Drosophila melanogaster: one gene and its partner. The protein of the gene in region 1 interacts with the protein of each later gene in a pairwise test. Each region holds a gene or a part of one and is shown on either strand. Other genes may lie near its edges.

Region 1 (5,901 bases):
GGAATGCCTAATTGCAGCTCCTGCTCTCACTTGTCGCCAAAACTTGTAGCTACAGAGAAAGAAATTATTTGATGTTTTGAAATTACTAATTTAAGTGAAACAAATGGGCTGCAGTGAGTAGTATATTCAAGTTAATAAATGAATTTCTAAAGATACTTTGCTTCTTACTTAGCTTAGCTTCTAAAATGTTAATGGCTTCGGAAACTTTACACAACTTGAATTGATGGATTTTATTTTATAAAATTATAGTTTTCCGTGCAGCAGCTGTTTCTCCGAAATCCTTGTAAATTGCTTTAATTATTTAGTAATTTTTAGTAATATTCCAGTGACAAACCTGCCTCTTTCCAGCGACAAAAAAGGCAGGTGAACTGGAATAATTCACACCTGCGGCGGTCAGCGGCCTACGTGCAATTATTGACGTTCAGTTTTGTAATAAAATATAAGTCGCAGTGCTGGCGACCTGAAATTAATTAGGCTTTTAATATTTATGCCTTTTATGTTTTGCATTTGCATTTGGTGGCGACAGGTCGCCAAGGACACGAGTGACAGGCGACCGAGGCAGCAGGACTAAGGACTCGGGCCAGGACTCACGTTCGTGTATGCGGGCAATTAATAAGCCAGAAATGCGACCGCTAATTCAAGGAGTCAGACGCGCTGTCCTGCGAAAGGGTGCAAGATAAGTATCTATTATAAATATTCATACTATATGTCGGCGGCGAGCACAGACGACATTAAACCGTGTCCGACAAGTCCGGCGATCCCATACCCAGTCCACATCCGGAATGGAATGTCTACTGGCTGGCTACATTGAAGGAGCCGAAGCCTTTCCCCAATTCCACTTTCCATGTCATCGGATCCCCAGGCATAGCTCTCCATTCATGGGCCTAAGCTATTTCTCATCTGTATCAAACTTGACAGCAAAAAGAGGCCTTTCATTCGCTTGGGAGGCCACCCAGTTCCTGGGGCTGAGAAAAAAGTAATCAGATTGCTGGCGTATAATAGCGTAACTCTGCCCATATCCTATTGTTACTACTTTTATTCAGAAACTCTTTTTTGAACTGAAAAGCAGATTGGAGATCTCTCTCTCTATGAAAGTGACACACTAAGAAGGCTTGAGGGCATTTCTGAAGGACATATATCCTGGTATTTATTATATCTTATGTATATATTTTCCATAAGCCATTCCATTCTTTATGTTATATAGCTTGATTTTACATCGAATTCTAATTATTGGAATTGGTAATCGGTTTAAACATTTATTTTGGTTTTATATGTCTATTACTGTACCTAAAACCAAGAAGGACGGCAAATTAATCACGTTTGTTATGTATTTATGCCATTTCCAAGTCCGTACTTTTACTAGATTCCCTTCTGCAAGTATAATGTGTTTTTTTTTTAACTTAAACAACTCGCTTTTCTACTAAATGATATGTTATATACATATGTATATCAAAGTGTAGCTGCAATCAATAGCATAAAAATTTCTCGTTGGTTCAATCAAACTTTACTTTTCCTTTGATGACCAATTATAGTGTAGTTTAGGCCGATAGTTCGGTAATTCCAGAGCACCGCTGTGCTAAATACATTTGAGTATCAAAAAATATGTTTTTAGCCGAAAATGGGCTGCTACTTTCACCCGTCTCGTTTGGTTTATCGATGCACAACAATCGCGGCAATCGCCGTTGAAGCAATGAAATTAGCGAACCGCAAACAAGACTTCAAATTACCCGCATTCATCCCGAATCAGATATTCGCACCAGGCTGTCAGATTTCTGCTGAGACGGGGAGTTGGGAAGGCGGGAGGTCGGTGCTAAAAAGTATATATGTATACAAGGTATGGATCGTATGGATCGTATCGATTGCCATCGACAGCCGTTCACAATGGATCAGCCAGTAAATCAGGCGAGAAAGGAAGGAAAGCCAGCGACTCGAGGCGAGGGGCACTTCAATGAGTAAGAAAGAAAGAGCAATTGCATTGGGGCAGACATCCGCATCTCCAACTCCAATTCCAACTGCATGTCCACACAAATGTATCTGTATCTCCGCATGGCACACTTCCAACTGTGGCGCATAATTAAATCGCAGCATAAATAAACATAAACACACATAAAGCTGTGATAAATTGGCCAGCGACGCAGCGGAAATGTGCGTTAATCCAATTAAATGGGCCATTTGCATGGCTGAATGCTGCGAGAATGTTGTTCATTAAAATTGCCAATATTTGGCATCAAATCCGAACCAAAGCGGTGCAGCTGCACTTTGGCAAAGGACCCATACCGATTTCAGGGGTCAATTCCGGATTTGGGACAATGTCCTGCCGCCAACTAATCGTCTAGTCTAGTCTGGGTTACTGTCTCTGTTTCTCTTTCTGGCCAACTTGTTTGTTTTGGGCCACTATTTTACTACTTTGCTTCTTTGTTTTGTTTGGGTTCTTTGGCCCCAGGCGGCTATCTTGTCACAGTGGTAACTGCGTCTTTTAAAGAGCACTGAGCAAAATAACTATAGACACTATAATAAAGACTGCTCTATTGTAAAATTGTTACCAATAATTGAGAAAACACTCAAGAACTCAATTTCGACCTTAAGAACATGCGAAAATGATGCAAAAGAAATAACTTTTTTTTTTGTAAATATATATAGATATAGAAGTCAGCACAACTTTGGAATGTTTTTTTTGTTTTGCATCATGTTAACATCCATTAGGCAGCGATTTGAACAAATCAAAGTCAGCAGCAGACATACTTCCAACCATTCCCCCCCCTGCGAGTGGCACGTGCCGCATGGATGATAACACGGGCTAACACAGGCCGAATCCTTGCAAATAAACTGCAGCGTAATGGGGCCCATTGTGCGGTGCAAACACTGTTTACACAGACGCCAGCCACCCTGGGGAAAACGCTTCTGGAGAGTCCTGGGGGTGGGGCGAACAGCGACCCCTTCAAAAGTTTAACTTGTTCAATTTGCATGAGTCGCGGACCCGGCTATAAACGATACTTTGCCCAAAAACTTTGGCCATAAAGCAGCTACAAAAGCAGACGGAATACACGGCTGGACAGGGGGAATAATGAGCACGCGTCCCTTTGTCACCATCAGGACATACATATACTCCATGTCCATGTCCTTCGGCTGCTAAGCCGCCACCGAAGCAAGCGGACACGTGCGACAAGGACAATGGAGGTAGTGAGTACAAAGAGGGGGCTTTAGGGGTTCAAGGACATTAAGATTTAAATATTATTGTTATGAAATGTATTAGTAAGTTCTTGAATCTTCTATCTTCCTCATATCATCATATTATTATTATTATTAATATCAATATATCAATTATTCACAATTATAATACTAAAAATCCCCTTTTAAATAATTTTGATCATACACCCCTGTAAAGAAAGTTGCTTGGGCTGAAGAGGTGATTCCTTTCTGGGGGATGGAAAACGCCTGCGATCGATTGTTTACAAGAAGCCGAGTCCTTTGAAAAACGCTTTCTAATGGCCGGTATTCAGTTCTTGCAGGGCTTCCCACATTGACCTTGGCTGCAGCCCTGGCAACTCCTGGAAATTTGCACATTACGTATTCCTTTTTTGAAGGTGGCAACCCTCCTGCGGTGACAATTAATTTTGTACAGCTCATTAGGCGTTGGAAAAACTTTCGCCAAGGGTGGATTTATATTCGGGATTTTAAACCTGTCATTCCAGCAAAAAGTGGTGTACGGAAGCTAATTTCTTGGGTCCCTTCTGTTTTGATATATTCTATTAGCAAGGTGGTAAGCTCAATTAGGCGATTTCACGCTGGCACAGCATTTCTTCAACAAACAACAAGGAAGCCTATTGAAAAGTTAATAATTTAGCGAAAATATGAAAAAAGTTACGAAGTCCATTAAGCGGGAAGGAAGTCCCAGCGATGAGGAGTACACTTTGGAGGAGGACCCAATCGAATTCGAGTTGGAAAAGATGGAAAGGGGCAGTTCTAATGGGGAAAGCGAAGAGGAAAGTCAGCGGGATCAAAAGCAAGCGGACTCCATCATCGACGATATGGTCGAGCAAAACGACCAGGAACAGGAGGCAGCCGGTGAACAGGATGTGGAAAGGGAGAACGACCTGCGCAAGATGTATGGTAAGTGGTTTCCCGAGGTGATAAATTCATATATATACAAACAAAACTTTCTCCAGAACTAAGTCTACTCCCGCCGGCGGCCATAGCTGCCCAGATCCAGCAAATGGAGAAGGAGATCTACGAGCTGAGTCAATGGGAAGCCAGGGAGCTCATCCGGAGCAAACACCTGCGCATCTTTGGCAACTGCCGTCGTCGCGCCAACAAGTGAAGAAGTGACAAATCTGCTTACAGAACACTGTATACTGTACTGTTGATGACTTTGATGGTATCAAATAAAGGGTCGTCAACGAAAGTGACTCCAACTCCATTCCGTTTCCCCGTCCAGTGGCAAAGCCACACATAGCTCCACATGGCCCAAGTGGCCAGATGGGCGAGTGTCGTGGGCAAAGTCCCATGAAAGCCGCTTACAGGGCTTAATTTCTGAAAATGGACATGCCATCGACATTCGCCCACGACATCGGCTCCATCTGAAGTCAAGTACAGTGGGACTTCTGTAGCTTGAACTTAAAAACCAAACATATTGCTAGGAGATAGAATAATATATCTACCAAATACTACACATTTTAATATTTTTATAAGTTTCAAATACACATCTGCATATCTGGATGTATTTGTAGATGTATATCAATTCAGTGTCTTCCTTTTGTCGAAGCTCGACTGTTGTTACTAGGAAATGCACATCGCATATGGAGGTGGAAGCAGTGCGTCTGGGATTGGGCATTAATCGTGCATTAGAGTCTAGAGTTCAGATGGCCGGAGCTGCGGCATCCGTTCCGACGGGCTTCCTGTGCGCTTAGTGGCCTCCATCGCATTCGCCAATCCTCCTGCCGTTGAGGTGGAGCTCCCGGTTCGGCGGGGGCTTTTGTGGAGTAACTCGATTCAAAGCAAATAGTAGCCAGTTTATCACATGGATTTGTGCTAATTTTTCCATTTCCTCGCTCGCTCGCCTGGGGAGTTGTGAACCCGATCCGCATTGAAGTTGGCTCTCGAGTTTCCAGGGTTCTTAAGTTGATTAAATTTCACGCGATTTGATTCGATTTTCAATTATACGAGTACCGAGTACCGAAACACCGAGTGCCTCAAATCCATTATGCTAAGCAAATACATCTAACGTGTTTTCAGTTTCAACTGCGTGTCAGTTATCAATGCCCAAAAAAAAAAAGAAAAATGGAAAGGGAAAGCCATGGAAATCAGGGGGAGTTGGGCAAAGCTTTTTGATGCCCGTCCAAGCGACTTCCTGGCATATCCTTTCAAATGTCTGCCTGTCCGTCGGTTGATGATGGTGATGCAGTCGGAGCACTCCTGCCCCCCAAAAATATCAGTTGTTGTTTTTGTCGCTTTCGGTGGTTGCGGGTGCAAATGTTTATCAGCTTCAAAGGGATTCCCCGTCCGTCAGTTTGGGCGATTTGGGGTTTGTCACAACACGGCATTACCCAGACTCCGGCGAAAGGAGACATTTGAATGCAACATGTGTCCAGGATTCGGGCTTTGTTAATTTCCAACCCCGAGAACTTAAGGGTGGAACACCAACTCGACTAATAGAATATGCTCATTATGGGATTCCGAGCTGAGTGGGTTTCAGTGTTTCGCGCATAACTCAAACTAAATTATTATAAATGAATTCATAATCTTGTGCACATTATGATGACTTCAGGGGCCAAAAGGGGGATGATTCAAGTGCTCGTTTCTCCCCCAAAAAATGTCAAATATTCAAATATAAGCGAAAGGATTCGCCATTTATTGGATTGCTCAGCACTGATTGAATTTACTGCGCAGTTGGCGAGGAGGTGG
Region 2 (6,992 bases), 9.2 Mb from region 1:
CTTTAGATCTACTTAAAGAAGCATATCTTCATGGTTATAAATATACGACTCCGCGTGGCAACTCGACTAGGCCAGCTCATAACTCTAGATTGCATTATCTTAGGATCTCCAAATGTAGAAGACACATGTGTTGCTCCCTTTACTTTCGGCACTCCCGTGACTCCCTTCGAAAATAAAGTGAGGACATATCAAGTTGCCCTTTGCGAGGACTGCAAATCGATTGAGGAACCCTGAAGGAGTAGGAGTTGCTGGGGATGGGGTTTTGAGTATTTCACAGAAATTCGAAACCGCGCAAAGTCAATGAACCAAAACAAACGAAAACAAAAGGGGCCACCACCGCGATGGAAATGAAAACAAATACAATAGGAAAAAGGCAACAAAAACATACAAAATGCACAACAATTTGACATCTGTTTCAACAATTTCGTTTAGCGAAAAAGGAGTAAAAAAGTAAGGACGAAAAGGATGTCACGTAGATTGACTTGTACAGCAGACAAAAGGAGCCCGAAACTTCAATTCAAACTTGGAACCCACTCGAAAACTCCTTCATCTCGTCAAAAAAGCAAAACGAAATTCCCCCGCGTTCGTGTGACAAATGTCAAGGGTTAATGAGATCCCCTTTTTTACAGTACTCTTCAGAAATGGAGTTGTGTTAATTATCATCAACGAACAGGAGTTTAAACGCTTCATTAGACAAAACAGTGCAACCAGAAGACAAAGAACAAAAAGGGAATGGAATAAGTATCTACAGATACGAGGGGTGAAAGCGATACCAAAAGGGGAAATGAGTTTAAACATATTTAGTGAAAAATTTGTGGACATCGAAAATATCAAATTACCAAAACCGGGAATTGCCTTCCAGTCTTAACGGGAATGGATTTTTTAGAGCAAAAGCAAAAGCGGGAGAAATGGGCATTCAATTAGTCACAGTCTACATGGGTGCGAGATTGTAGATAAGGTCGTCAGATACATTGTGAAAATACATTTGCATTCGAACTGGTTGTGTTCTAGGAAATTATATACAATTTAAATTTATTAATATAATAAATATATACAATTTTTAAGAGTATAAGATTTTATGAGCATTGCCTGCACATTTCAAAATCCCATATTCCAAGAAATCCCTTGCTTAATGAACTAAATTGTAAACTCTTTCAATATGTTTAATTGTGGCATTTCTCAAGAAAACGATACGATCATTAATATGCATTGTGTTTTGAAAAATGATTTTTCTGCATGCTATATGGCAAAGTGATATTTTAGCCGCTAATTGTCAAAGTCCACCAAACTTTGGCCCTTAATATGCAGTTCGTAAAATTATGAAATATATTCATTTATTTTAATTAGCTTAACCTCAAGGCGAAGAAAGCGAAGAGCAGAGAGAAATAAGTTCAATGAGACCCCAAGGTTTGCCTTCTGGCAAGTGAAATGATTGATGGATTGGAGCTCCATTGTCTTCACATGAGTCACTAAACCACGAGAATCTTATAGAGCGTATCACTTGCTGCAGTGACTCACTCTAGAATAAGGAAATATAATCGAAACTGGAATCGGGATCGTAAAAATGCAATTCAGATAGCGAAAGGGCGGAAAACAGCTGGAAAAATTCGGGGCTAGAAGGTCGTGCTCAGTCGTCTTCATCTTTAATTGCTTGGAAAACAATAGTCTAAAAGGAAAACCGATGGAGTAGCGCCCCATAAACCATAAAAATGCATAATCTACGACCACTTGACACGCATTAAACAAAAACAAAACAACACTACGGCGGCGGCATTCCTACTTTTATGTTTTATAACGTTTTCAACATTTTATAAAATATTTTTTAGACGAACGAGATGGGAGATCTCCATATATAGTTGAACAATAGTTGTCCCCAGATAAGGAGTAAATAAAGACCTCTAGCTCTCTACCCGTAAAATTAAACTGAAACCGAAACTTATGTAGTGCTTTTTATGAATTCATATAGGGCTTCCGTCACACGACTAAATCAGATCGTAAAAAATGTACAACAAAAGAAACTTTTTCGTTCCGCCAAAAGAAAGAGCAACAAAAAATAGGAAGCAATGAAAAAATTGAAAGGGGTTTCATTGTCAAAATCACGTGCGTGCTGGTATACTATTTTTTTCCAACTGGACTTGTAAATTTATTCGTCATATACAGCCGTTGTTCTTGTTATGCAGCTTTTCATGGGCTGCCCTATGATTTTCGCTCGGAAATTACAACTTTGTCATCAAATTCGGACTGTAAACATTACAACTAGTGTAATAAAAGAACAATAAAATTGGCGGAAATATTCGCCAAAGAAATTGAGCAATGAAATGCATAATTATATTCACTAGACGAACTATTCACATCAGTAATTTACCAATAACTAAAGAAGCTATAAAGAGCAGGGTATTATAATATTCAATAGATTCAAGCAGCTGACGACATTTTTTTAATTTACTCCTGGTGACACGTGAGATTATTGCATAAAATTCTTGTCAGTCCGATTTTTTTCGCCTGTGCCAAAAACTCAGCAGTTTGTTCATCCAAATATCGTGCATCAGTCAGAATAATTGGGGGGGTGTTCGCCATGGATGATTCGTGATTAAAGGATGTGTATTAAATATTCATATGAATGTCAATTTAAAGCTATCTCTTTCGGCACAGTGTCACCCTCTCTTTCTCATTGACTGGTTATAGACCAGTTGAGTGCCAGTGTTGGCGGCTTTTTGTTGTCTCGGCTTTGGTCTGCATTATTGTTGATATAGCCCATGAATCCCCAATTGAAAGGCTTCCCTTACTTTCCTTTTTGAACTTTGCCGCCCTTGGAAACAAATGGGAGGGTTAAAACTGGGGGTTTTGGGGTTATAAATAACAATAGATTTATTGCAAACAAAACATGAAGTGCATTCAAATAAAATGAAAGGAGCTTTGTTTGGTTTTCGCCTGTCTACTCTTTCACTAAAGCTAAATTGTGTAACTTTAATTTATCAATAAGAATTTTTGGCAGCAGAATAATAATAGTGGAATGCAAGGCTTATTTAACATGTAAAAAAAAGAAGTTTTGAACATTAAGTGTGACTGCTTAAAGTACACCGATGAGAGTGTGTTTTCTTAAAAATCATCGATAGAAACTGTAAAGGATAACAGAAAAACTTAGCAACACTTTTTCCGAATGGAAAACAACAGCAGGGCAACCCTTAAAGTGGGCCAACATTTCGTTTGTCAGTCCTCATATTTTTCCGGCTTGCTCGTTTGCCCGAATATTTGTTTGAGAACTAAAAAGTCATCGAAGTTTGTAAATACAAAAGGATAATGTCGGGGAACCAAGACACTTTGGGCCAGTCACAGCAGGTCAATGAAAGTGGTGATGAATATGAAGAAGACGCAGCAACAAGTTGGACAAATGAGTTGGAACAGCAGGAGTCCAGGACGCCAGCGGATAGCCCCGAGTTTCTGGATTTTGTGGACTCCGAGGATCCGCTGGAAGATTTCGAAAGAAATCCTTTGCAGAAGGAGCCCCTCGATCTGGCAGTTAAACCTGTTTCCGACATCAATAAGAAGGCAGCGGAGAATCACAGGCGGATTTACCGACAATTGGGTATCCATATCCCGGAAACGCCAAAAAGCCATCCTCTACTCCATTATGCATTCGTCGTGAAACTGTTCCTGGCCACCGATAATAGCTCCATTCACTACCTCAAGTGGTCGGCAAATGGCCGCGAACTGGAGGTCGATTACCAGGGTATGCAGGAGCATTTGTCCAGCGGGTGTTCCATGTTTCATTGTCGAAATACATTGCAATTTACGGGCACTCTATTGGCCCACGGATTCGAACGCGTTTCATTGAAGGATGTGCGTAAATCCTCAGCCACCAACATCACGCTGATCTATCGGAATCCAAATTTCGTTAAGGGTCAGTTACTCAAATTGCATAAACTGGCTCAGGAATGTGAGAAAATACCTGAAATTTCAAGCCCGGGAACGGCGGAGCCGCGACGACCACCTCTGCACCTCCCGAACTATGCCCATATTTCCAGGATGGTACGGCGAGGAGATCTCTGCTCCACTCCCTACACATCCCGTTCTGCTCTGCAAGTGGCTCGATGTCATTTCCAAACTCTGCTAGGATATCAAGCCGATCTGGGTGTCCTTAAGGATCGCAACAATCACGATATGTTCAACAAGAACATTATGACGCAACTGAATGTGAAGAGGGGGCGTTCGTCTATCAATAACGCCCCCGTAGACTTAGCGCCCAGTAAAGTTTCCTTTGAGAAATTCGTAAAGCCGCACGAATCTGTGATTAATATCGGAATTGGCCAAGCTCCCGATTATGCCGGTTATTATGGCCAGGTCGAGCTATTCAAAGTCAACGAGTTCTTCTCCGAATATCTGCCGCGCTATGGTAGCAAAATCACCGGCTACAAGGAAATAGTTATGGATGCCACCAATAAGTCCATTGGTTTCCAGCAGAATCTGCCAATCGGCATGAATTACTCGGATGATGAAGACGATGCCCTGCCACCGATTTCATCGGACCTCGACTTGGACTTCATGCCATCCACCTCAGCGGCGGCGAAGATGAAATCTACAGGTCGCAAGGTAGTGGAGGACTCGGACTTGGAGCAGGCTATGCAGGAATTGTGCGGCGGTTCTAATCTTAACGAAGAGGAGGAACTTCCACAGACCAGCACCAGGTTTAAAGCAAAGCCCAAACCAAGAGCCAAAACCAAAGCCAAACCCACGAAACGCCAAGCTAAACCCGTACATTCCAGTTCCAGCGAATGCGAAGATTTCAAGCCAGACGAAGTGTATGAAGGTTTTAAGTCTAGAAACCCAAAGAACGTTAAGTTAAAGCCTAGTGACGAAAATATCTCCTATACTCTTGAAGAAGGAACTGATTTCGAGGAGCAAGTCATAGAAGAAACGACCGAAACCAAGGTGCAGGATTCGCAATACGATGACCTGGATGATGACGACGACGACGAGGAAGAGGATTACTTCGACGAGGATGACGAGGATTATGTTTACAAAAATTTGCAGTACAGGAACCCTCCTGAACCGCCAAAAAGCCGACGCTATGATCTACGCAACTCCAAGCGAAATCCTCGTTGAGTCTGCCACTCATTGGAATTGTATGGTATATCTAAGGCAACTAGGAGTTATTATTTGTTAAATCAAATACTTGACTGTGTGGATTTGTGCACCAAACAATTAAACGTTATTTAGTAACTTTAAAGAGGATTTTATTTAAAACTTACGGTACGCATCTTCGGACCATTCACCTCTGCCATATCTTTTGTTTATTCAACTTTAGGCCCATTCCTTTAACCATCTTCCATTGGGCATATCTAAACCTTTCATTATAGCTTTTGTTGGTCTTCTTCGAAGGCAATAAGTTTGGACATATGGGCAATTAAATCGCTTATCGCTCTTTGATCTCTCACGCCCTCAGTGCCCCATTACCGAGGCCAATCAAAAGTGTAATATCATCTGGAAATATCTTACCAATTCGAACCGAGGGCCAGCACCCACACGAACTCACAAAAACCGAAAACGTATAACCAGAAAATAAAGGAAAAAACCAGACAGGGGCACAATCAGTCGGATGTTTACAAGTTTTATGAGCCACCAAATAACAAGATGAACAACAGGCAACCGAAAACGAAACCAAAACCAAAACCAGAACCAAAGCGAAACTTAAACGATACTTGATTTCGAAGGGATTTCGGATTTGTGGTGTACCTCGCACCGCATTTGCAAGAGGCGCAAAAAATAAGCGCTTTTTTTTTATATATATAACTCAGCGTGAGCCGAGACACGATTTTTATCGTCTTTAATTTGCTTTTTATTTGATATCATATTTCAAGACAGCCGGACGGATCAAATCGGTTTGGTCCCACTCGCAGAACTCTGGAGCGTTGAAAACAAAAGCCGGTATCCTCTTATTTGCCGGCTCCGCTCCTCCGAAAAATCCCAAAACAGATTTTTCGGTTGGCAAAAGAGGAGAAACCTTGAGTCAAGACGTCATAATGTCATAAAAATGTCACATACTTTTAATAACTTTATGACAGCTACAAAATCATAAACAAAATGCTCTGACAGCAGCACACGAACTGCGAGAAGGCGAGGGATTCTGCGGTTGAGTTCTTTTGGGAGTCCTCATAATGAGATGTGTCATGTTTTGCCTTCTGAGAAATGTTTCTGCTTCTCCATTTCGGTGGCTTTTGCCATGATTGCCCATCGAGGAGCCGAGTGGACCAGGCTGCCATACTCCCATCCCTTCCCCCAAGAGTCACAATTATAAACATGACAGGCTGATTATTAAATTTGATGTTTAAATGATGATCTAAACAGCAGGGATATTCGATAGTAGGGGGTGTGTGTAGCGTGTGCCTAGGAAAATACATCCATAAAGTTGGTTCGTGGCAAATAAATTATCACTGAACTATGCATGTAGCTTGAACTTGTAAACTTAACATTGAAAATATTGTATTTTGGGCTACAGGGTAGGGATTTGAATATATAGATGCTTTAGAATCGTTTTTAATCCAAATATTTCGTTGATTCTTTTCTTCTCACGCACCAATTTAATGCAATCCACACACACCTTTTCGGTCCAAAGGCCACAATCTCAGCTTTAGTTTCAACACATAAATTCGGTTTGCGACAAAGCGCGCCAGTATTAAATTATGGAAACAGGAATAAAGTCGGGACTTTTGCTGCATTATAATGAAGTCAGATAGGTGGGGGTGGGGCAAAGAAGTTTGGGGGGGGTAAGTCGAAATGCCCTCCGAATGCAGAGTTATTAAATGCCAAGTTATTTGTCGTTTAGCTGGAAATCCACGCAGGTCGGCAGTACTTTAACTTCTGAGGCTCACAAACTTTTTTTTTTGAGACTGCTTTATGGGCTTGAGTAGGAAATCTTTACGAGTTTCTGCTGGGGAGACAAATTTATTGGCAAGGCATTAATGTTTTCTTTACTGTTCGTATTTCTCTCTTCC

The links.
Region 2: the proteins of wuc (region 1) and comr interact in a two-hybrid assay, tested with the Drosophila melanogaster proteins (one study listed by BioGRID).

What each region holds. Positions count from the first base shown.
Region 1 is NT_033778.4:12,696,453-12,702,353, forward strand, and holds wuc (Wake-up-call), read left to right. Parts: upstream 1-3,628; 5' UTR 3,629-3,760; exon of another isoform or gene 3,761-3,844; 5' UTR 3,845-3,851; coding exon 3,852-4,110; intron 4,111-4,166; coding exon 4,167-4,318; 3' UTR 4,319-4,399; downstream 4,400-5,901.
Region 2 is NT_033778.4:21,863,102-21,870,093, reverse strand, and holds comr (cookie monster), read left to right. Parts: upstream 1-3,234; 5' UTR 3,235-3,300; coding exon 3,301-5,103; 3' UTR 5,104-5,224; downstream 5,225-6,992.